Arabidopsis thaliana: one gene and its partners. The protein of the gene in region 1 interacts with the protein of each later gene in a pairwise test. Each region holds a gene or a part of one and is shown on either strand. Other genes may lie near its edges.

What was found.
Region 2: the proteins of PUB14 (region 1) and RK1 interact in a two-hybrid assay, tested with the Arabidopsis thaliana proteins (one study listed by BioGRID).
Region 3: the proteins of PUB14 (region 1) and RK2 interact in a two-hybrid assay, tested with the Arabidopsis thaliana proteins (one study listed by BioGRID).

The regions. Positions count from the first base shown.
Region 1 is NC_003074.8:20,318,981-20,325,692, reverse strand, and holds PUB14 (plant U-box 14), read right to left. Parts: upstream 4,341-6,712; 5' UTR 4,170-4,340; coding exon 3,888-4,169; intron 3,642-3,887; coding exon 3,525-3,641; intron 3,437-3,524; coding exon 3,023-3,436; intron 2,931-3,022; coding exon 1,845-2,930; 3' UTR 1,673-1,844; downstream 1-1,672. Other genes in the region: ATVPS33 (Sec1/munc18-like (SM) proteins superfamily), read left to right, coding at 365-445, 810-867, 971-1,023, 1,132-1,225, 1,318-1,407; ARA6 (Ras-related small GTP-binding family protein), read right to left, coding at 4,911-4,952, 5,203-5,289, 5,394-5,483, 5,797-5,902, 5,999-6,093, 6,236-6,319. UniProt on the Arabidopsis thaliana protein: Functions as an E3 ubiquitin ligase with specific E2 ubiquitin-conjugating enzymes. Undergoes auto-ubiquitination.
Region 2 is NC_003070.9:24,465,578-24,472,972, forward strand, and holds RK1 (receptor kinase 1), read left to right. Parts: upstream 1-3,204; 5' UTR 3,205-3,354; coding exon 3,355-4,633; intron 4,634-5,044; coding exon 5,045-5,179; intron 5,180-5,282; coding exon 5,283-5,473; intron 5,474-5,549; coding exon 5,550-5,760; coding exon of another isoform or gene 5,761-5,765; exon of another isoform or gene 5,766-5,845; coding exon 5,846-6,083; intron 6,084-6,186; coding exon 6,187-6,337; intron 6,338-6,425; coding exon 6,426-6,752; 3' UTR 6,753-6,895; downstream 6,896-7,395. Other genes in the region: AT1G65780 (P-loop containing nucleoside triphosphate hydrolases superfamily protein), read right to left, coding at 1-503, 579-1,124, 1,216-1,311. UniProt on the Arabidopsis thaliana protein: Involved in the regulation of cellular expansion and differentiation. Mediates subcellular relocalization of PUB9 from nucleus to plasma membrane in a protein-phosphorylation-dependent manner.
Region 3 is NC_003070.9:24,471,123-24,479,048, forward strand, and holds RK2 (receptor kinase 2), read left to right. Parts: upstream 1-1,750; 5' UTR 1,751-2,043; coding exon 2,044-3,334; intron 3,335-3,703; coding exon 3,704-3,838; intron 3,839-3,931; coding exon 3,932-4,122; intron 4,123-4,198; coding exon 4,199-4,409; coding exon of another isoform or gene 4,410-4,414; exon of another isoform or gene 4,415-4,494; coding exon 4,495-4,732; intron 4,733-4,835; coding exon 4,836-4,986; intron 4,987-5,074; coding exon 5,075-5,401; 3' UTR 5,402-5,765; downstream 5,766-7,926. Other genes in the region: RK1 (receptor kinase 1), read left to right, coding at 5-215, 301-538, 642-792, 881-1,207; AT1G65810 (P-loop containing nucleoside triphosphate hydrolases superfamily protein), read right to left, coding at 5,921-6,002, 6,076-6,210, 6,292-6,855, 6,928-7,183, 7,261-7,585, 7,661-7,926.

The DNA of each region.
Region 1 (6,712 bases):
CATGATCTAACGACAGCATTGACTTAATGCCACAAATCTCTTATGCCCTTGAAAGCTCTTTTCAACTTGCAAGTTTTGTTGATTTGTGAGGACTCCCTCGTTTTCTAATGCATGATCTTGCATCATCATTGGCTGAATATTCAGAATTTATAGCATTAGTAAATCTGTTTTCCTCCTTGTTTGTAGTATGGGATCATCTCCTTTTTCATATGGTACATTTTTTCTTTTATTTTGACATTTAGTGTTTCAATAGTACCTATCTACAGACATCTGATTTGCTAGGCCTTGCACCAACTTTTTTCTAATCATAAAATCAAGTTTTGAAATCAGTTTGAGTTTTGAGGAAAATAAATTTCTTGTGCAGGCCTAACGATATCGCTTATGTCTATTCGGGATATGCTCCTCTTAGCATTCGTCTTATCCAACAAGCTATTCATTCTGGATGGTTAGTACGTTCTTGCTTTCTTAATTACCAAAAAGAAAAAATGTTCTTGCTTTCTTCTAGCCAAAACTTTTGCCTAGGTAGTTTAACACATAGGCTTTTCTGAATAAGTATTAAACTAAGAAGAAAAAGTCGAGAATCTGTTCAGTTTCAATTTGAGAAGCACTTACGTGAAAGGGCTGATAAAAACTCAGCATAAGGAATCCATGTATGAATGAATAGGAGAATTTTTGTCTGCTTCCTTTGAGGCAAGAAAGAAATGCGCAAATAGTAAACAGCAACAACTTTACTATGATAAAGCAATATAACCTAGGTTACGTTCATGATTGATTAGTGTGCTGTATTGATGTCTCAATCTACCTTACAGGCGTCCTATGGAAGACATTTTGAAGCTGTTACCAGGACCCCATCTGGAGACTAAAAGAGTCAGTACACTTTTTCCTTTACCCAATTAGAGAGATAAATGTAACCTCTCTTTTCAACTATTTTTCAATTGCAAATATATCACTATGTCCCTTCTTTGTGCAGAGTGGATTCCCAAGTAGTCCATCAGTTGATTCATTGCACGGAGCTTCAAATGGGTAAGTTTCTCGTTAACAAATTAGTTTTGTACCGCGAAGTAAATTCGATAAAATGATAAATGGAATGATTCTAATGTGTAAGAGGTTTCATCTGGGACATGATTACAGGGTTGCTGATGGAAGACGCTCAATTGTTCTTGTTGTCTTCATTGGAGGTGTAACATTTGCTGAAATCTCTGCTTTACGGTATCTCGCCTCTAAGGTATATATCAAACTTCAAAAGTTTACCATAAAAAAAACACTCTTTTTGTCCGCTGAATCCTCCATTCTTGCTTCTGCATAAAATTTTATCAGGAAGGAATGGCTTATGATTTGATTGTTGCCACAACAAAAATCGTCAACGGCGCAACGTTGATAGAAACATTCATGGAAAAACTAGGCTGATCCGTAAACTGAGCGTTATGTTCATCTTTTCTCTTTCGAGTGTGTTTATTAATTCATTTTTTGTATGTCTTTGTTTATTTTTCTGGATCATTGTGGTTGCAGAGTGAATGGTATGCGTATGTGTATGTGTATATTAAATGGTTGAGATACAGCGTGATTATACAAATTCAATAATGTTTTCTTGGTACAACCTTTCACTTCAACTTCTGCTAGTTATATACGGCTTTACTTCTCCCTAATTCTCAAGCAAATCGAGAGTGTGAAACAGTAAATAATAGGGTTACTTTTACTTTTAAATATCAAATAGATATACACAACTCTGAGTCGAAAATTACATATAACATCATTACATAAGATTCTTATGTCAGACTCAAACCAAAGGTTCCTATACATATAATCTACACTGAAACAAATAACATTCCAAAAGAGCGAGGCTTTCATGGAACAGTAGTTACTGCAACACCTTCGGTTTGCTGAATAAGCTCCAACAAGCTCGCAGCTTTCCTCTTTGCTCTATCAGTGCCATTCTCAGTAAGTTCCTTCAAGGCCACATCTGCACCAACCTCTCTTGCTACATTTAGCCTTTCTATATTCCCAATACATAGATACCAAAGTATTGCTGCAGCATTTTCCCGGTTCCTTGGTGACCCTGTCCTTATAATCTCAACCAAAACCGGGATAGATTCTGCTTCAGCTATCGCTGTTTTCCCTTCTTGGTTAGTTGAAAGAATTGCTAAAATGGCCAGAGCCTCATCCACCATTCCGCCACCTGCATCTTTCAGTAATCTGGTCAGAGGGTCAACAATACCGCCTTTAACCGCCCTTGATTTGTTCCCCTGGTATATGCATAAGTTGAAAATCGCTGTAGCAGCATCTTTTTTGCCTCTTCGGGTTCCTTCCTCAAGCAAGCTTATAAGTGCTTGGATAGCTCCAGCAGCACCTATTGCCACTTTGTTTTCATCTATAACAGATAAACTGAAAAGGGTTGCAGCAGCGTTCTCTCTAGCTTCCATGCTTCCGTTCTTTAGGACTTCTACTATATCCGTTATGGCTCCTGCATCAACAATGGCTCCTTTGTTCCCTTCATTTATGGAAAGATTCAGAAGAGCTGTCACAGAATGTTCCTGAGTCCGAGGATCTGGTGAGGATAGAAGCTCTACAAGGAGTGGTATGGCTCCAGCCTCAGCGATACAAACTCTGTTATCCACGTTCCTCTTGGCTAGTAACCTTAATTCTCCAGCTGCAGCTCTTTGCTGTTCTGTAGTACCGTTGGCCAATTTCTCTAACAAGGAAAGGACAAATGTTCGATCACAATCTGAAGAGCTGCTTCCTCCTATTTTTGTGGTTCTACAGCTCCCTTGATTTTGCGGTAGCTCAATGCCGTTGCTTTCACACCACAAAGCAATGAGACTCTTTAACACATAATTAGGGGTTAATCCAGCATGTAAAAGTGTCTCCTGAGATTTCGGACATGTTTTATGACCAGCATCAAGCCACTTCTGAATTGATGATCTTTCATATGTCTGCAAGGTCGAAAAATTCAGCTATAACAACAAATACACAAGTTTAATAATCAAATTCACTACAATGCACAACGAAACTTGCAAAGCCAGACCTGTCCAGTGGAGACGATAACAGGATCCTTCATCAGTTCAAGTGATATCGGACACCGAAAATACTCTGGTATAACAGGAGAACGATGTCTCGAAACGATTCTGCTGCCAGTGGATGGATCAGGGTCTGAACTTTCCATTGTTACAAAGTCTACCAGGTTTTTAAGAAGTGAAGACATCCTCTCGAAACAGTCATCAGGATCTCCATCATATGAAAGAAAATACTCATGTATCGCATGCGATTCTTTCTTCAGCTCATCAATGGTAGTAAGTTGGAGCTCTTGTGAAAGTCTTTTGAGGATTATAGGGTCAGGATCCATCACATTCTCTGCCATAGCTAGATCATGGCTAAGCTGTAGATCAGACTCCTCCCATCTTTCTTTTGCTCTCTTGAACTGAAAATGCAGAAGCTGAACCTACAAATTCAGAGAGCTTATCATTAGAATTCAGATTTTAATCAACAGAAAAATATAGCCCTCCTTAAATCAATGCATTGAGAAGTACCTGTTCTCTGACTTCCTCTGATACCTCAATCTTCTCATAAGGAATCTGACTTAACGCTGCTTCTATCTCCACTGTCATGTCACGGAACTTCTCCACAAGAGAATCTCTATCGAAAAGCTGCCAGCAGAGAGAACACGAAAAAGGTCTCAACTTCTTGTTATCAGACTCAATTTGATTCATCCCAAAATAAGAGAAACAAGACAAAACCCAAATTCTTGATATTGTTAAAGAAGACAAAGACAAACAACAAAACCCTAAACACCAAAATCTTAAACCCTCGAAGAGAAAACAAAGGAAATTGCCAACTTTTGCCAGCTACCAAAGATATAAATACAAATAAAACAGAGCAAGTAAATGAGTAACCTGAAAAAGCTTGCTTCCTCCATTAACCGATCGAAAAAGCTCAAGACTTGAATCAAGAGCGATTCTCATAGCCTCAAACCCTGTAATCTGATCCTTTTTCAATTCAACATTGACGTCAATCAATTCCTCGAAGAAAGGGCTGAGAAGCGTGATCCTACGAACAAGATCGCCTTGGATCTTCCCAATAAAACCCCTTGAAGATGAAAACCCTGATATTTCTTTAACGGAGTCAACGAGTCGACTCATTAGCTCCTCGTGGGAACAACAATTCGTTAATCCCATCCCTCAGATTTTACTGTTCCAGAGGGCTTCAAAAGGGTTTTAACGAAACCAAGACGAGGAAGAAGAAACCCAAAAAACCAAGAGGAGGAACAGAAATGCTATGGAACGAAATAGTCTTCTCATCAACGTGACAATAAACACCTATTTGGACATGAAAAGTCTCATTTTGTCCATTTTCAGACCAATCATAATTTTTTCTATTTTATTTTGCCGTTAAATTTTAATATTTAAACATTGCATTTAGATTTTCATATTTATTTATTGCCTCAACTATAAATTTATGATATTAAGGTTGACCAATACAAATATATAAAGTTTTTAAGTTTGTATTTGCATCTGAAATCATCAAAAGTCAAATCCTTTGTATAATGGATTTCTCTACCTGTTTGTTAGTCTCTTTGAAATTGTCAAATAATTTCTTGATTTAGGTTTTGTTAGAATTGGCTGCAATAGTCTCTCCCACAAACTATACATGCATTGAATCATTTGAATGAAGCTTTACTCTTCTCTACTTCTGATGAATCCCACTAAAATATGTACTGATGATCCATTGCTTGATATAACTTGGGTTTCCACTTTTGAGGTTCGTAATATCCCCAGTTTCAAACTCAAATCTTCACATTATACAACACACTTGACTTAACAGATAGAGAAATATTGTTTTGAAACATTACATTAAAAAGTATGGAAAGATTAGTAGTCTGAAGACATGGCTGAAGATGAGATGATTCAACACTCCAATCATGACGAAGGAGCAGGACGAGGTAGCCTCTTGCCAATTTCCTATCAGACATGTGTACACTACAACAAGTTAAAATCTCATATACTTCGTATTAATCCATCTTTCTGCATCCAAAACTATTATCCTCCACAAACTACAAGAAATTAAATCTCATATCTAGCTGCATATCACTGCCTATCACTTTTCCATCCTCCAATTCCAAAGCAATGAAAGAAACGGATAATAAGATCTCAATAAATGCAGAGGACAAGAAAATCGATCATAAATCAGAGGCAAGAAAGAAGTGCACACCTCAAACAGTTGATTTATGTTATCGGCTGTCTTGGCTGACGTCTCAATGAAGAACATGCCGTTCTTCTCTGCAAGCTCCATTCCATCCTGTTAAGAAATTGAAAATGTGATACCACTGAAGAAGCAAGGACAATGAAAGTGACAACAAAATGCGCTACGGAATCTAGATGAAGACGTTTACGCAAACTCACCTCAGTAGGTACTTCTCTTTTTTCATGTAGATCAGCTTTGTTACCAACCAGAGCCATAACAATATCTGGGCTTCCATGCTTTTGCAGTTCCTGTTAGATTTATGGGCAGGGGTAAAACAATAGCACTAGATTCAATATAATGTTGATATCTTTCCTGCACGGAGTTGTGCCAAATGGCTTCATGGTAGCAACGAGTGCAAATTAATGGAACAAAAATGTCAGAGAAGTAAACCAGTTGCCCAACTAAATGATACCCATTATATACACAGACAGGAGTGCTGTTGGCTATATGACTGTCTGTAACTCTAATTTTCAGTCCTGGTAAAGATATAGCTCGGAAGCTATTGCACGAATCCTAGAAACATGAACGAAATGGAACCTTTTGAACCCCCTGAAAACATACCTTAACCCAATACTGTGCTTTCTTGAACGATTCAGGGCTTGTTATATCATACACAATAACAGCAACTCCAGCTCCACGGTAGTATAGTGGTGCAAGAGCAGAATACCTAAAAATAAAGTGAATGCAGGTTAAATCCTAGTAAGTTTGCAAAGCGTTTATCTAATAAAATAAGCAATACAAATCTGCATGAAGGGTTTAATACCTCTCCTGTCCTGCTGTATCCCATATTTCAAACTTCACTGTGGTAGAGTCTTGCAATGCTATAGTTTGGGACAAGAACGAGGCTCCAACAGTTACCTGATACATAGCTAGTAGTCTTGAGATCTAGTGGCAGATAAGTATACTCTAATAGTCTAATATTCACTCACATCAGAGCATGGTGTTCTAAAAAGGTGTCAGATGGTCAATAAAGACAATTAGATAACAAGGCTTTACTTACCTTAGATGTAGCGTCAAACTGACCACGTACAAATCGAAGGACAATACAACTTTTACCAACACCAGAGTCTCCTAATAGAACTAACTGCAATCAAGTGAATCCAAAAGTTAGTGGTATGTCTTACGCAAAGTTGAAACCAATTATACCACACTTGGCAAAATACTGCTGAGCAACAAGAAAATAAAAGGTGAAAGAAAAGGAATCATCTCCTTAACAATAGAAAAAGAGTTTCAAAAGTAGCTTGCAAAGCAAAACCGTCAATTATTAAGAACAAAGTTGAGGTTTTGCTACTACCATTCTATAAAGAGTGTATGTTTCTTCAAAAGCGCTTCACTAGGCTTATCACATCTTACAACATGCGTGGATTAAAATGTGAACAATCATATATAATGCAAGACCACAGATCACAAAAGCATGAACTTTCTAATAAGCTATTAGAAATTGCAGGAATCAGTGAAGAAACAAAGCAATCTCAAC
Region 2 (7,395 bases), on another chromosome or scaffold:
TACTGTCCTTTCGGGTCCTCAAGTAAACGTATCATGCCATCGATAGTAGCTTTCCACCCGTAAAAAGGCATAAAACATGGGTAAAGCTTATCAACACGTTCATCAATGAAGATGTTAACAAGATCTTTCCTATCTTTAATCTTCATCCTCTCATCATTCCCAAACAAAACTACATCTCCAAGACCATAGTTACCAATCTTCAATGATCCAGAGACTAGTTTCAAAACTCTCGACGCCACTTCAAGAACAGAAACATTCGTTGGACCACATGTCAAGGTTCTACATTTTGCATTCAGTAATGTGAACAACAACACACTTGTTGTCTTTGTCTTCCCTGTCCCTGGTGGTCCCCAAATAAGTCTGACGGTATTCGCGTGGTAGCATCTTCTAACATCCAAACAATTCAGTATTGCATCTTCTTGTGAAGGATTCAGCTTGAGAAAACGACGAGGAGCAAGACCATCACTTCCTTCTTGTAAACACTGAATGCAAAATCCTTCATCCTACACAAGCAGAAGCCAAAAATGATATGACTACAAACATCGAAAGCTATTACAGAGTTTATCAATATCTTTTACCTCACTGTTTCTTCGAAGGACTCTTGAGATAAGATTCAAGTTCACACCTTCATCACCAGGATGCAATGCATTCCAGATACGGATATTAGTAGTTAAATTGACGAGATGAATACCGAAAAGGCGTTCTTTCTTCTCATTCTTCTTCCTCCTTCCATCCTCAACGAAAAGAGGTTTTGAAGCCAAGATAGTTACATCATTAGGCCTATCTGGATCTACCTTACACACTAAAGCAACTATATAAGGTTCACTGGAAATATTGAAGCCATCAACATGGTTTGGTCTTTGATCTGTTAGCGAGATAAGATCTCTAGGCATCAACTTTGTACTAGCCTCATTACTTATTCCACTCAAACGCACTTTATAGAACAAGTCATTAGGAAGCTTATATTCCGCAGTTTGCATAATGTAGCTTATTTCAACCACAGGTGCTTGCCACAACTTCCTCATACTCGACAATAAAGCGGCATGTGTTTCTTCGATAAGCGGAGGAATAAAGGTCTTGAAGTAGTCTCCGGTTGATTCAAACTCCATAGGTATCTTCTCCACCTGTTATAAGCAATCAAACACACAAAATTACTCTCTAGGAAGCTTCTCTTTACTCAAATGGGACAGAGAACACAAGAAAGTAAAACAGAACCTGTCCTTTATAAAGATCAACATTGAGAACTTCGTCAAGAGACCATGAGAGCACCAGATCGACTAAATCTCTTCCTTCAATACGCATTCTCGGCATTTATATTAAAGTTACCAAACTCGATTTCGTACTCTGAAAGATTAACGCAACAAAACCCATTAAACAAGTGAACCCTCAAAGGTACGAACTTTACACTTTTGGCTATAACAGAGAAGCAAAAGGAACTATTTTTACGAGAACCATTGATCATTGAAAGGTAAAGTAAGGTTTTTTCTTCTTTGTTCTTTTTGGTAAACAACGTCTTAGGATTTTGAGATTCGCAATGAAAAACCCTAAATTCTAACGTTGGCTTGAACATTAGAGCGTGTGGCAACGAAATTTGAAGATGATGCAATGAAATTTTAGCCGCTTACTTTGAATTCGAGTTGTTGTTGTCAGAGTTTGATTACTTCGAGACGAAGAAGGGTTTGGTTTTGGGAGACAGGAACAGAGGTTTCTTTTAGAAGGACATGGATGAGTAAGGATTTGGAGGGAAAGGAGGAGAAGAAGTAATTAACTAAAATGGTAAAATTTTGGGGCTTTCTTGAGTTATTTGTTTACTTACGGGTCTACTATGTAAAGTAATTACGTTTCGTATTTAACCGGTTTACACGCTTTCGCAATCTAGCCTATCTACGCCATAAGCTAAACATGACTAGATAGTCCTATAAGGCTATGACAATAATGTTAATTTAAAAAAAGAGGATGTGTTCGTGGATGTTTTAGAGAGAAGCTAGAGAAGAAGAAAGCAATAGAATTTAGTATATTCTAAAATCTATTTCTATTTTTTTTTGCATTTGCATAGTCTTCAACATTAATAATAATTATTTGTATTGACAAAATTTTCATAAAATAAAATCTATGTCAAATAATATTATAAAGACAAAATTTTACACAATAATACAAAATTATATATGAATTAGAAAAAAATGTTGAAGGTAATATAGCAGTTAACAATTTCTTGATTCATTTAAAGAGAGAGTGCATCAATTAAGAGCAAATGTTATGAGATGGCTCAATTCTATGCAAAAATAAAAAGATAAAGTTCTAAAAATATAAAGCATGGAAATAAAATATTGATAACTCCTTCAAGTGGTATTGATGAGTTTATACGATCTGAACAAGTAAGAATCATACAAAACAAATCAAGAATAACAACAACCTATGATTGCACCTAATATTTATTGACAATATTTTGGTGACTTTAAAGGAATTGTACGTTGTAAAATCGTTTATGTAACAAGTCTCATTATTTGTAATAAATAATAAATTTTATAACTAAATTTTATAAATAATAAAACAGAAGGGCCCATAAATATTTTGTGTATTGCTTTTGTTTTTAATAACTAAATTTTATTAGAACTGTCATACAATTTTTTTTAAATAATGTAAAATCTTTAAAAGAAATTTATAAGGGCAGCCAAAAAACAATTTTGTTCTAGAACCCATGATAGAATTGAACCGGTCATGATGCGATGGCCAGTACACACAGCACTACGAATACGAAGCTCTGCCAAACAAATGTCATTTTGTAGTCTAAGGTTAATGATTTACTTGTCTAGCGAATGAAATAGTTGAAGCTTGGTGGTGTAAGTTAATTTCTTTCATGAATTGATATTCGTAGGAAAGGAAAGAAAACCAAAAAAAAAAGATTATTTATAACGAGAAAAACACAAATTAGTTTTATATCTCTCTGAGACACGCATAGGCCTGGCCACACACACACACAAATAAGGAGTGTTGACGAGATTTGTTTCTTTTTTGCGTAAACGAAGAAAGGTCAGTTACTAAGAAAATTACAAAAACACTGATAAGTAAATGTCTATCTAACGAGTTATTTTCTTGTCATTTGCTAGGTCAACTCTATAGTGACAGAGTCTATAGATATTTCAAATGCGAACAAGAAGACCAAGAAAACCAAGAAAACCAAGAAAAGACAGCCGAAAATGAAATATCATCAACAATGTAATATACAGAGTAATCGTGTAAATAACGGCACACATCAACAATAATATGAATCTCCGAAGATAAAAATTCTCAAATTCTCATAAAATTCCCTCAAGAAGAAAGAAAACAGAACACGAGAAACTGTCCTAGAGAGAGATGAGAAGTGTACCAAACTACCACCATTCTTTCTTCATTTTCCTCATTTTAATTCTGTTTCTTGCTTTCTCTGTTTCTCCAAACACTCTTTCAGCCACAGAATCTCTCACTATCTCAAGCAACAAAACCATTATATCTCCTAGTCAAATCTTCGAGCTCGGTTTCTTCAATCCCGCATCAAGTTCGCGTTGGTATCTCGGCATATGGTACAAGATAATCCCTATAAGAACCTACGTATGGGTTGCAAACAGAGACAATCCTCTCTCTAGCTCCAACGGAACTCTCAAAATATCCGGCAATAACCTCGTCATTTTCGATCAGTCCGATAGGCCTGTTTGGTCGACGAATATAACCGGAGGAGATGTGAGATCACCAGTGGCTGCAGAGCTTCTTGATAACGGTAATTTCTTGCTCAGAGACTCCAATAACAGACTTCTATGGCAGAGTTTCGATTTTCCGACAGATACTTTACTTGCGGAGATGAAATTGGGATGGGATCAGAAAACCGGATTCAACAGGATCTTGAGATCCTGGAAAACAACAGATGATCCATCAAGCGGTGAGTTTTCGACAAAACTCGAAACCAGCGAGTTCCCTGAGTTTTACATATGCAGCAAGGAGTCGATACTATACCGCAGCGGTCCATGGAATGGAATGCGTTTTAGCAGCGTACCAGGGACAATTCAAGTTGATTACATGGTTTACAATTTCACAGCAAGTAAGGAGGAAGTGACTTACTCATACCGAATCAACAAAACAAACTTATACTCGAGATTATACTTAAACTCTGCGGGTTTATTACAACGATTGACTTGGTTTGAGACAACACAGAGTTGGAAGCAACTATGGTACTCACCGAAGGACCTATGCGATAACTACAAAGTGTGCGGGAATTTCGGTTATTGCGACTCGAACAGTTTACCAAATTGTTATTGTATCAAAGGGTTTAAGCCAGTGAATGAGCAAGCGTGGGACTTGAGAGATGGCTCCGCTGGTTGCATGAGGAAGACGAGGCTGAGCTGTGACGGTAGAGATGGTTTTACCCGGTTGAAGAGGATGAAATTGCCAGATACCACGGCGACAATTGTGGACAGAGAAATTGGGTTGAAAGTATGTAAAGAAAGGTGTCTAGAAGATTGTAATTGCACTGCGTTCGCTAATGCGGATATTCGCAATGGCGGGTCTGGTTGTGTGATTTGGACCAGAGAGATTTTGGATATGCGAAATTATGCTAAGGGAGGTCAGGATCTTTACGTTAGACTAGCCGCTGCTGAACTCGGTTAGTTTCTTTCTTATTTGCATTTACTAAAGTGGTTCTTACTTTTTGTTTTGATTAAAAAGTTATGACCCAAAGTCAATATATCTTCCCAATCTGCGGACCAAGTCATGTAATATTGTCCCTCTCGAAGCAAAGTTCAAACTCCCTAATCTATAGAGGCTTTGGTCAACAAAGTACATTCTTGATGTTTGGTCAATTTGTTTAGTTTTTTTTTTTTGTCATCTGTTTTTAATTAGAGATCAAAAGATTAATAAGAGTTTAGCTAGATCCAATACCATTATACCAAAAAGAATTTTTGTTTAAGTTAAATTAATTATTTTGTTTATTTTTCGTATTAATTTTTTTTAATCAAACGTACAACAAAGGATATTTTTCGTATAGAAGTAAATATATGCCTCGTTTTTATTGCAGAGGACAAGAGAATCAAAAATGAAAAAATTATAGGTTCGAGTATTGGAGTGAGCATTTTGCTTCTTTTAAGTTTTGTCATCTTCCATTTTTGGAAAAGGAAGCAGAAGCGATCAATAACAATTCAAACACCTAATGGTAAAATAAATCATTAGCTTTCATTTCCTTTATTTTTGTCAATAAATTTTGATAATCAAATGTCTTGATTGTTTTTTTTTTTTTTAACGCCTGAATGAAACAGTTGATCAAGTGAGAAGCCAAGACTCGCTAATCAACGATGTGGTAGTATCTAGGAGGGGTTACACATCCAAAGAAAAAAAAAGTGAGTACCTAGAGCTTCCATTGTTGGAGTTGGAAGCTCTTGCCACGGCAACAAACAATTTTTCTAACGACAACAAGCTTGGACAAGGTGGATTCGGAATTGTTTACAAGGTAAAAGTGATTCAAAACATATTGAAAATCTACCACAGCACATGGTTTCATTGTATAATCACATGTGTGGTAATAGGGAAGATTACTTGACGGAAAAGAAATTGCGGTAAAGAGACTATCGAAAATGTCCTCACAAGGGACCGATGAGTTCATGAACGAGGTTAGATTAATTGCAAAGCTTCAGCACATAAACCTTGTCCGGCTTCTAGGTTGTTGCGTCGATAAGGGTGAGAAGATGTTGATCTATGAGTACTTGGAGAATTTAAGCCTTGACTCGCATCTCTTTGGTTAGTGACTCAAACAGCTTCTGTTCTAATAATTGAACATTTTTGTGAAAACGTTAACTTGTTGTTGGTTGTGTTGGATGTGTAGACCAAACACGAAGCTCTAACTTAAATTGGCAAAAGAGATTTGATATTATCAATGGTATTGCTAGAGGACTTCTATATCTTCACCAAGATTCACGGTGTAGGATTATCCATAGAGACTTGAAAGCAAGTAACGTATTGCTTGATAAAAATATGACTCCAAAGATCTCGGATTTCGGTATGGCGAGGATCTTTGGACGGGAGGAGACAGAGGCTAATACAAGGAGGGTGGTCGGAACTTAGTAAGCAATCATTCTTCAACAAAACAAAAAAAGAGCTTTTATCTCAAGTCCAAATATTTTCTTAAAAACCTCATAACATATGAGTTTATATTTTGTTATGCAGCGGCTACATGTCTCCAGAATATGCAATGGACGGGATATTCTCGATGAAGTCGGATGTTTTCAGCTTTGGGGTCTTGCTTCTAGAGATTATAAGTGGAAAAAGAAACAAAGGATTCTACAACTCAAACCGTGATCTTAATCTCCTCGGTTTTGTAAGCTAAAAACCTCTTCAATTCGATATTGTTTTGCATTCATAATCTGATTATAACACTAAAGAAATATTACATCCTTTATGCACAGGTGTGGAGGCATTGGAAGGAAGGAAACGAGCTAGAGATTGTAGATCCGATCAACATCGATTCTTTGTCATCAAAGTTCCCGACACATGAAATCTTAAGATGTATACAAATTGGTCTCTTGTGTGTTCAAGAACGAGCCGAAGACAGACCAGTGATGTCCTCGGTAATGGTGATGCTTGGAAGCGAAACTACCGCTATTCCTCAGCCTAAACGTCCTGGATTTTGCATTGGTAGAAGTCCTCTTGAGGCTGATTCTTCTTCAAGTACACAGCGCGACGATGAATGTACAGTGAACCAAATCACTCTCTCGGTCATTGACGCTCGGTAATTTGTAACTTACGGCCCAATCTGTTTACATGCATATCATTTTATAGGTAAGTCTAAATAGATTTTATTACTACATATATGATTCGATATCTTGCTCTATCTAATTTAATTTAGACAAAAGATTCACCACATGTTTCACATGATTTTGATTTAGAGCGAGAATTATAAAAAAAAAACATTTAGACAAAGACAAAAAAATGCAAGATTTGGAGTTGTCACTCCAAGATTTGAAGTTTGAGACCGAAACTCAATTAAGTGGGAATTCAGTAATGATTAATATTCACTTTTTGTACATACTACTGATAATAGACCAATACTGGAAGCGAACATAGGACTTTATGGCTATTACAACAGAGGACTTTATGAAACAAATCGAATATATACCTTAAACTTTTATGAATTCATCGGTGAAGCATTCTCTTGCATATAACATTTAGTATGTCGCCAGCAACATTGAAATTTTGTCTATTCTCGTACACACACACACAAATGGTTGAGGATATTATTTTTTTGGAGTAAACGAAGAAAAGTCAGTTACTAGGAAATTACAAAACCATAATTATCAATTTAACGACTTTTAAGGTCATTGACTCAATTCTATAGTGACATAGTCTATAGATATTTCAAAAGCGAACAAGAAGACC
Region 3 (7,926 bases), on another chromosome or scaffold:
ATAGGGAAGATTACTTGACGGAAAAGAAATTGCGGTAAAGAGACTATCGAAAATGTCCTCACAAGGGACCGATGAGTTCATGAACGAGGTTAGATTAATTGCAAAGCTTCAGCACATAAACCTTGTCCGGCTTCTAGGTTGTTGCGTCGATAAGGGTGAGAAGATGTTGATCTATGAGTACTTGGAGAATTTAAGCCTTGACTCGCATCTCTTTGGTTAGTGACTCAAACAGCTTCTGTTCTAATAATTGAACATTTTTGTGAAAACGTTAACTTGTTGTTGGTTGTGTTGGATGTGTAGACCAAACACGAAGCTCTAACTTAAATTGGCAAAAGAGATTTGATATTATCAATGGTATTGCTAGAGGACTTCTATATCTTCACCAAGATTCACGGTGTAGGATTATCCATAGAGACTTGAAAGCAAGTAACGTATTGCTTGATAAAAATATGACTCCAAAGATCTCGGATTTCGGTATGGCGAGGATCTTTGGACGGGAGGAGACAGAGGCTAATACAAGGAGGGTGGTCGGAACTTAGTAAGCAATCATTCTTCAACAAAACAAAAAAAGAGCTTTTATCTCAAGTCCAAATATTTTCTTAAAAACCTCATAACATATGAGTTTATATTTTGTTATGCAGCGGCTACATGTCTCCAGAATATGCAATGGACGGGATATTCTCGATGAAGTCGGATGTTTTCAGCTTTGGGGTCTTGCTTCTAGAGATTATAAGTGGAAAAAGAAACAAAGGATTCTACAACTCAAACCGTGATCTTAATCTCCTCGGTTTTGTAAGCTAAAAACCTCTTCAATTCGATATTGTTTTGCATTCATAATCTGATTATAACACTAAAGAAATATTACATCCTTTATGCACAGGTGTGGAGGCATTGGAAGGAAGGAAACGAGCTAGAGATTGTAGATCCGATCAACATCGATTCTTTGTCATCAAAGTTCCCGACACATGAAATCTTAAGATGTATACAAATTGGTCTCTTGTGTGTTCAAGAACGAGCCGAAGACAGACCAGTGATGTCCTCGGTAATGGTGATGCTTGGAAGCGAAACTACCGCTATTCCTCAGCCTAAACGTCCTGGATTTTGCATTGGTAGAAGTCCTCTTGAGGCTGATTCTTCTTCAAGTACACAGCGCGACGATGAATGTACAGTGAACCAAATCACTCTCTCGGTCATTGACGCTCGGTAATTTGTAACTTACGGCCCAATCTGTTTACATGCATATCATTTTATAGGTAAGTCTAAATAGATTTTATTACTACATATATGATTCGATATCTTGCTCTATCTAATTTAATTTAGACAAAAGATTCACCACATGTTTCACATGATTTTGATTTAGAGCGAGAATTATAAAAAAAAAACATTTAGACAAAGACAAAAAAATGCAAGATTTGGAGTTGTCACTCCAAGATTTGAAGTTTGAGACCGAAACTCAATTAAGTGGGAATTCAGTAATGATTAATATTCACTTTTTGTACATACTACTGATAATAGACCAATACTGGAAGCGAACATAGGACTTTATGGCTATTACAACAGAGGACTTTATGAAACAAATCGAATATATACCTTAAACTTTTATGAATTCATCGGTGAAGCATTCTCTTGCATATAACATTTAGTATGTCGCCAGCAACATTGAAATTTTGTCTATTCTCGTACACACACACACAAATGGTTGAGGATATTATTTTTTTGGAGTAAACGAAGAAAAGTCAGTTACTAGGAAATTACAAAACCATAATTATCAATTTAACGACTTTTAAGGTCATTGACTCAATTCTATAGTGACATAGTCTATAGATATTTCAAAAGCGAACAAGAAGACCAAGAAAATGTAGCTGAAAATGAAATATTATCAACAATAGAGAGAAATCGTGTAAATGACGTTCACACATTTCAACACCAAACATGTCGTAATCTCCGAAGATAAAAATTCTCAATTATATGTACATAAAATTTTCATAAGAAGAAAATAAAACAGAACACAAGAAAGTGTCCTAGCTAGAGAGAGAGAGAGAGATGAGAAATGTACCAAACTATCATCATTCTTACTTCATATTATTCATCATAATTCTGTTTCTTGCTTTCTCTGTTTATGCAAGCAACTTTTCAGCCACAGAATCTCTCACTATCTCAAGCAACAAAACCATTATATCTCCTAGTCAAATCTTCGAGCTCGGTTTCTTCAATCCCGACTCAAGTTCACGTTGGTATCTCGGCATATGGTACAAGATAATCCCTATAAGAACCTACGTATGGGTTGCAAACAGAGACAATCCTCTCTCTAGTTCCAACGGAACTCTCAAAATATCCGACAATAACCTCGTCATTTTCGATCAGTCCGATAGGCCTGTTTGGTCGACGAATATAACCGGAGGAGATGTGAGATCACCAGTGGCTGCAGAGCTTCTTGATTACGGTAATTTTGTTCTTAGAGACTCCAAAAATAATAAACCAAGTGGATTTTTGTGGCAGAGTTTCGATTTCCCGACAGATACTTTACTATCGGATATGAAAATGGGATGGGATAACAAAAGCGGAGGATTCAACAGAATCTTGAGATCTTGGAAAACCACAGATGATCCGTCAAGCGGAGATTTCTCGACTAAACTCCGAACCAGCGGGTTCCCGGAGTTTTACATATACAACAAAGAGTCCATAACGTACAGGAGCGGTCCATGGCTCGGAAATCGGTTTAGCAGCGTACCGGGGATGAAACCAGTTGATTACATAGACAACAGTTTCACAGAGAATAATCAACAAGTTGTTTACTCATACCGAGTCAACAAAACCAACATTTACTCGATATTAAGCCTAAGCTCCACGGGACTATTACAACGATTAACTTGGATGGAGGCAGCACAGAGTTGGAAACAGTTATGGTACTCACCAAAGGACCTATGTGATAACTACAAAGAGTGTGGGAATTACGGTTATTGCGATGCGAACACTTCACCTATTTGTAATTGTATCAAAGGGTTTGAGCCAATGAATGAGCAAGCGGCTTTGAGAGATGATTCTGTTGGTTGCGTGAGGAAGACGAAGCTAAGCTGTGACGGTAGAGATGGGTTTGTGCGGTTGAAGAAGATGAGACTGCCAGATACTACAGAGACAAGTGTGGACAAAGGAATTGGGTTGAAAGAATGTGAAGAGAGGTGCCTAAAGGGTTGTAATTGTACGGCGTTTGCTAATACGGATATTCGTAATGGCGGTTCAGGTTGTGTGATTTGGTCCGGAGGGCTGTTCGATATCCGAAATTATGCTAAGGGAGGTCAGGATCTTTACGTTAGAGTAGCTGCTGGTGATCTAGGTTAGTTTTTCTTTGCTCTTTTGGTTTTTATTTTATTGTTTAGTTGACTAATAGGTTCTAAGCCAAGGTCCGTAACATAACGGCTTGATCCACTAGGTCCGACCATATAAAGAGTATATGGTCCACAAAGTATCTTGTTGATGTTTGGTCAATTTTTTTAGTTTATTACTTGAAGATATACAAAATACTAGAATAACTTATATATCAAAAGATTAATATGGCTTAAGCTAGTTCCAATACCAAAAAATATATTAATTATTTTGTTTATGTTATTGAATAATATTTTATCAAAAATACGTAAGTACAACAAAGTATACTTTGGAGTTATTATTATGATTGAAGAAAATATATGCCTCGTCTTTATTGCAGAGGACAAGAGAATCAAAAGTAAAAAAATCATAGGTTCGAGTATTGGAGTGAGCATTTTGCTTCTTTTAAGTTTCATCATCTTCCATTTTTGGAAAAGGAAGCAGAAGCGATCAATAACAATTCAAACACCTATTGGTAAATCAACAGCTTTCATTTCCTTTATTTTTACTTCAATTTTTGATAATTAAATGTCTTAATTGTTTTTTTCTGTGTGTCTAAATGAAACAGTTGATCTTGTGAGAAGCCAAGATTCTCTAATGAACGAATTGGTAAAAGCAAGCAGGAGTTACACATCCAAAGAAAACAAAACCGATTATCTAGAGCTCCCATTGATGGAGTGGAAAGCTTTAGCCATGGCAACAAACAATTTTTCGACGGACAATAAGCTTGGACAAGGTGGTTTTGGTATTGTTTACAAGGTAAACATGACTCATAACTTGTTGAAAATCTATCACTGGCAATGGTTTCATTGAATAATCAAATGTGTGGTAATAGGGAATGTTACTTGATGGAAAAGAAATCGCGGTAAAGAGACTATCGAAAATGTCTTCACAAGGGACCGATGAGTTCATGAACGAGGTTAGATTAATTGCAAAGCTTCAGCACATAAACCTTGTCCGGCTTCTAGGTTGTTGCGTCGATAAGGGTGAGAAGATGTTGATCTATGAGTACTTGGAGAATCTAAGCCTTGACTCGCATCTCTTTGGTTAGTGACTCAAACAGCTTCTGTTCTAATAATTGAACATCTTTGTGAAAACGTTAACTTGTTGTTGGTTGTGTTGGATGTGTAGACCAAACACGAAGCTCTAACTTAAATTGGCAAAAGAGATTTGATATTATCAATGGTATTGCTAGAGGACTTCTATATCTTCACCAAGATTCACGGTGTAGGATTATCCATAGAGACTTGAAAGCAAGTAACGTATTGCTTGATAAAAATATGACTCCAAAGATCTCCGATTTTGGGATGGCGAGGATCTTTGGACGGGAGGAGACAGAGGCTAATACAAGGAGGGTGGTCGGAACTTAGTAAGCAATCATTCTTCAACAAAACAAAAAAAGAGCTTTTATCTCAAGTCCAAATATTTTCTTAAAAACCTCATAACATATGAGTTTATATTTTGTTATGCAGCGGCTACATGTCTCCAGAATATGCAATGGACGGGATATTCTCGATGAAGTCGGATGTTTTCAGCTTTGGGGTCTTGCTTCTAGAGATTATAAGTGGAAAAAGAAACAAAGGATTCTACAACTCAAACCGTGATCTTAATCTCCTTGGTTTTGTAAGCTAAATACCTCTTCAATTCGATATTGTTTTGCATTCATAATCTGATTATAACGCTAAAGAAATATTACATCCTTTATGCACAGGTGTGGAGGCATTGGAAGGAAGGAAAAGAGCTAGAGATTGTAGATCCGATCAACATCGATGCTTTGTCATCAGAATTCCCGACACATGAAATCTTAAGATGTATACAAATTGGTCTCTTGTGTGTTCAAGAACGAGCCGAAGACAGACCAGTGATGTCCTCGGTAATGGTGATGCTTGGAAGCGAAACTACGGCTATTCCTCAGCCTAAACGTCCTGGTTTTTGCGTGGGGAGAAGTTCTCTTGAGGTTGATTCTTCGTCAAGTACACAGCGAGACGATGAATGTACAGTGAACCAAGTCACTCTCTCGGTCATTGACGCTCGGTAATATGTAAGATTGTAAGTTATCGACCCACTCTTTTTATATAAAAATATAGACACAGGGCAGTAAGGTCTCCACACTAGGGGCTGATACTTTGCATCAGTCAGTGATACCTTGTGTAACAAGTTTCCTTTGCCTCCATGGAACGTATACAAAAGTTGTATTCAACTTCGTTGTAAATATAATTAAGATAAAAAGAAAAAACCAAAGAGGGTATAAACCCACAAGGATAGCTACAATTTCCGGAGATCCGGATGAGGAGGAAGCATGATACCAAGCTTGAGAATCCTTACAAAATCCCACTACTGCGATAGCATTATATTTATAGTGAAGAAAAATTGTGATCTAAGATGATACACATGTTCAGTGATCACTGATCAATGACCAATTTAAGTATGTCTGACAAATAGCAAAAGATAATAAGAGAAAAGTCACAAAAGGACGCAAAAGAAGCAGACACACAATGTTTTAAAAGACCAAAAGGAATACCAAATTGTCTGCTTTTGACAAAGAAACAGTCAAATTTCACTTAGGATCTTTGGGGTTAGATGTTGAAAGTTGAACCTTTCTTCTAATCTTCCACAGTTTCTTTAGCTTCACTTGTTTCCTGCAAAACAAATAAACAGAGAATATTACTGAAACTGCTTTGAAATCTCAAAGACTCATCAAATAAGCCTTACTTGATAGGTTTAGGACTCACAGTTTCCTCTTCCACAACACTGAGCAACGCAAATGATCTCGAAACATCGCTTACAATATCTTTCTTTGAACAAGAATTGGAATCAACCGGCCATTGCATTGGTACAACTAAATCACTGCATCATTGTGAAAACATAAAAACATAAATTTCTCATGTTTCAGATTAAATTAACACCACAAAAATTTAACTAACTCACCCTTGAGAGCATATGTATCGACACCGACTTATCTTGCCTTTCGTGTATCGCCTGTAATGTTTCTCTAGATGTTCTGTAACACGAGAAACATCAGTAGATGGCAAAACCTGCCAGATCTTCAAAACTTGTACATGTTGATTATTATTCTTGAAAATATCTATCGCCCAAATAAGACTTAAGCCATCATCAAACTCATGTTGTCTCAACAAATTCTCACTTTCAAACTCAACCTCTTGATGAAGCTCTTTCCCATTAGATAACTTCTCCAAAAAGCTCATAACTCTTTTATTAATTTCCGAGTCTACGATCGTTTCCAGAGATTTCAAGAACTCGTAGCTGAGCCAAACCTTCCATATCGAATTCTCAAAAGAAATAAGCTTCTTGTTTTGAAGCTTATTAAGATCATCAAGTGCTGTTGTTGATCTTTCAATACACTGAGCTAATGATTCATCTTCTTCTGCATTATGGAAACAGTTTCGTGCTTTCGCATCATCTACCAACTGTCTCCACACTGATCTATTGTTCGTTAAAGTCGCTTCGTTTCCAAGAATCCATAAGCAATACCTACAAACAAAAAGAGCTAAATCAAGAAACTGAGCATAGCTAAATCAAGAAACAGAGAAAATGTTTACATACCTCGCACGAGTGAGTGCTACATTAGTTCTTTGTTGGTTAGATAAAAAACCAATAGCTCCATTACCGTTAGACCTGACTGTTGAGATTATAATGATATCTTCTTCACCACCTTGAAACCCATCTACAGACCTAACACTCACTGTAAATGTCCCTTCGGTATTATACTTTTCGCCTATCCTTTCTTGGATCGCAAACACTTGAGCTTTGTAAGGTGAAATCACCCCTACGCTTATCGTTCTCCCGGTCTTTCTTGATACTAAAGATTACATAACAAAACAAAAATCAACATCAAACTTTACTTTAAAGACTGATCTGAATCAACATTTTGTTTACCTGAGTAAAGCTTTGAGACTATCTCAGCCACAACAGAGACTTCCACTAGGTTTTTCGAACTATATCCTTCACCAAACTGTTCTCTTCCATAAGCTATGTTGATAAAAGAGTAAGGTCCATACATTTTCTCAGGAAGAAACTTTTTTTCATAACTTCTCAGTCTCACAGAAGGAGCATCCAAAATCTTCATATCGTAAAACTCTCTGTTCGGGAAAATACTAATCGAAGGATGCATTCGGTACTGCATGTTCAGCAACTGTTTATTATGTCCCAACAACACCAATCTTTCGAACAAACTCCTCCCAAGATCAGCCTCTGAAGCAATCTGCACATAACTTATTAAGTAAGCAAAGAGAAGAGAGTGAATATGTGTATAATTAGTTAATATAAGAGAACCAACATTGCTTTTTATCATTGCAGGCAATTGCTTCTCATCACCGATCAAAATCGCATGTTGAAGTCCTCGAAGCTGCAATGGTATCGCTGACTCGCATTCTTTTAACTGAGCAGCTTCATCAATCACAAGAAGCTGTATTGGACTACTCATGTGTAACCTAGCAGAGCTTGATGCTGTGCAAAACAACAGATATGCATTATCTAAGCAGAGTTTTTGAAGTTCGAACTTGGATATAAAATCCGGAAGTTTGATACTCATAGAAATCGATG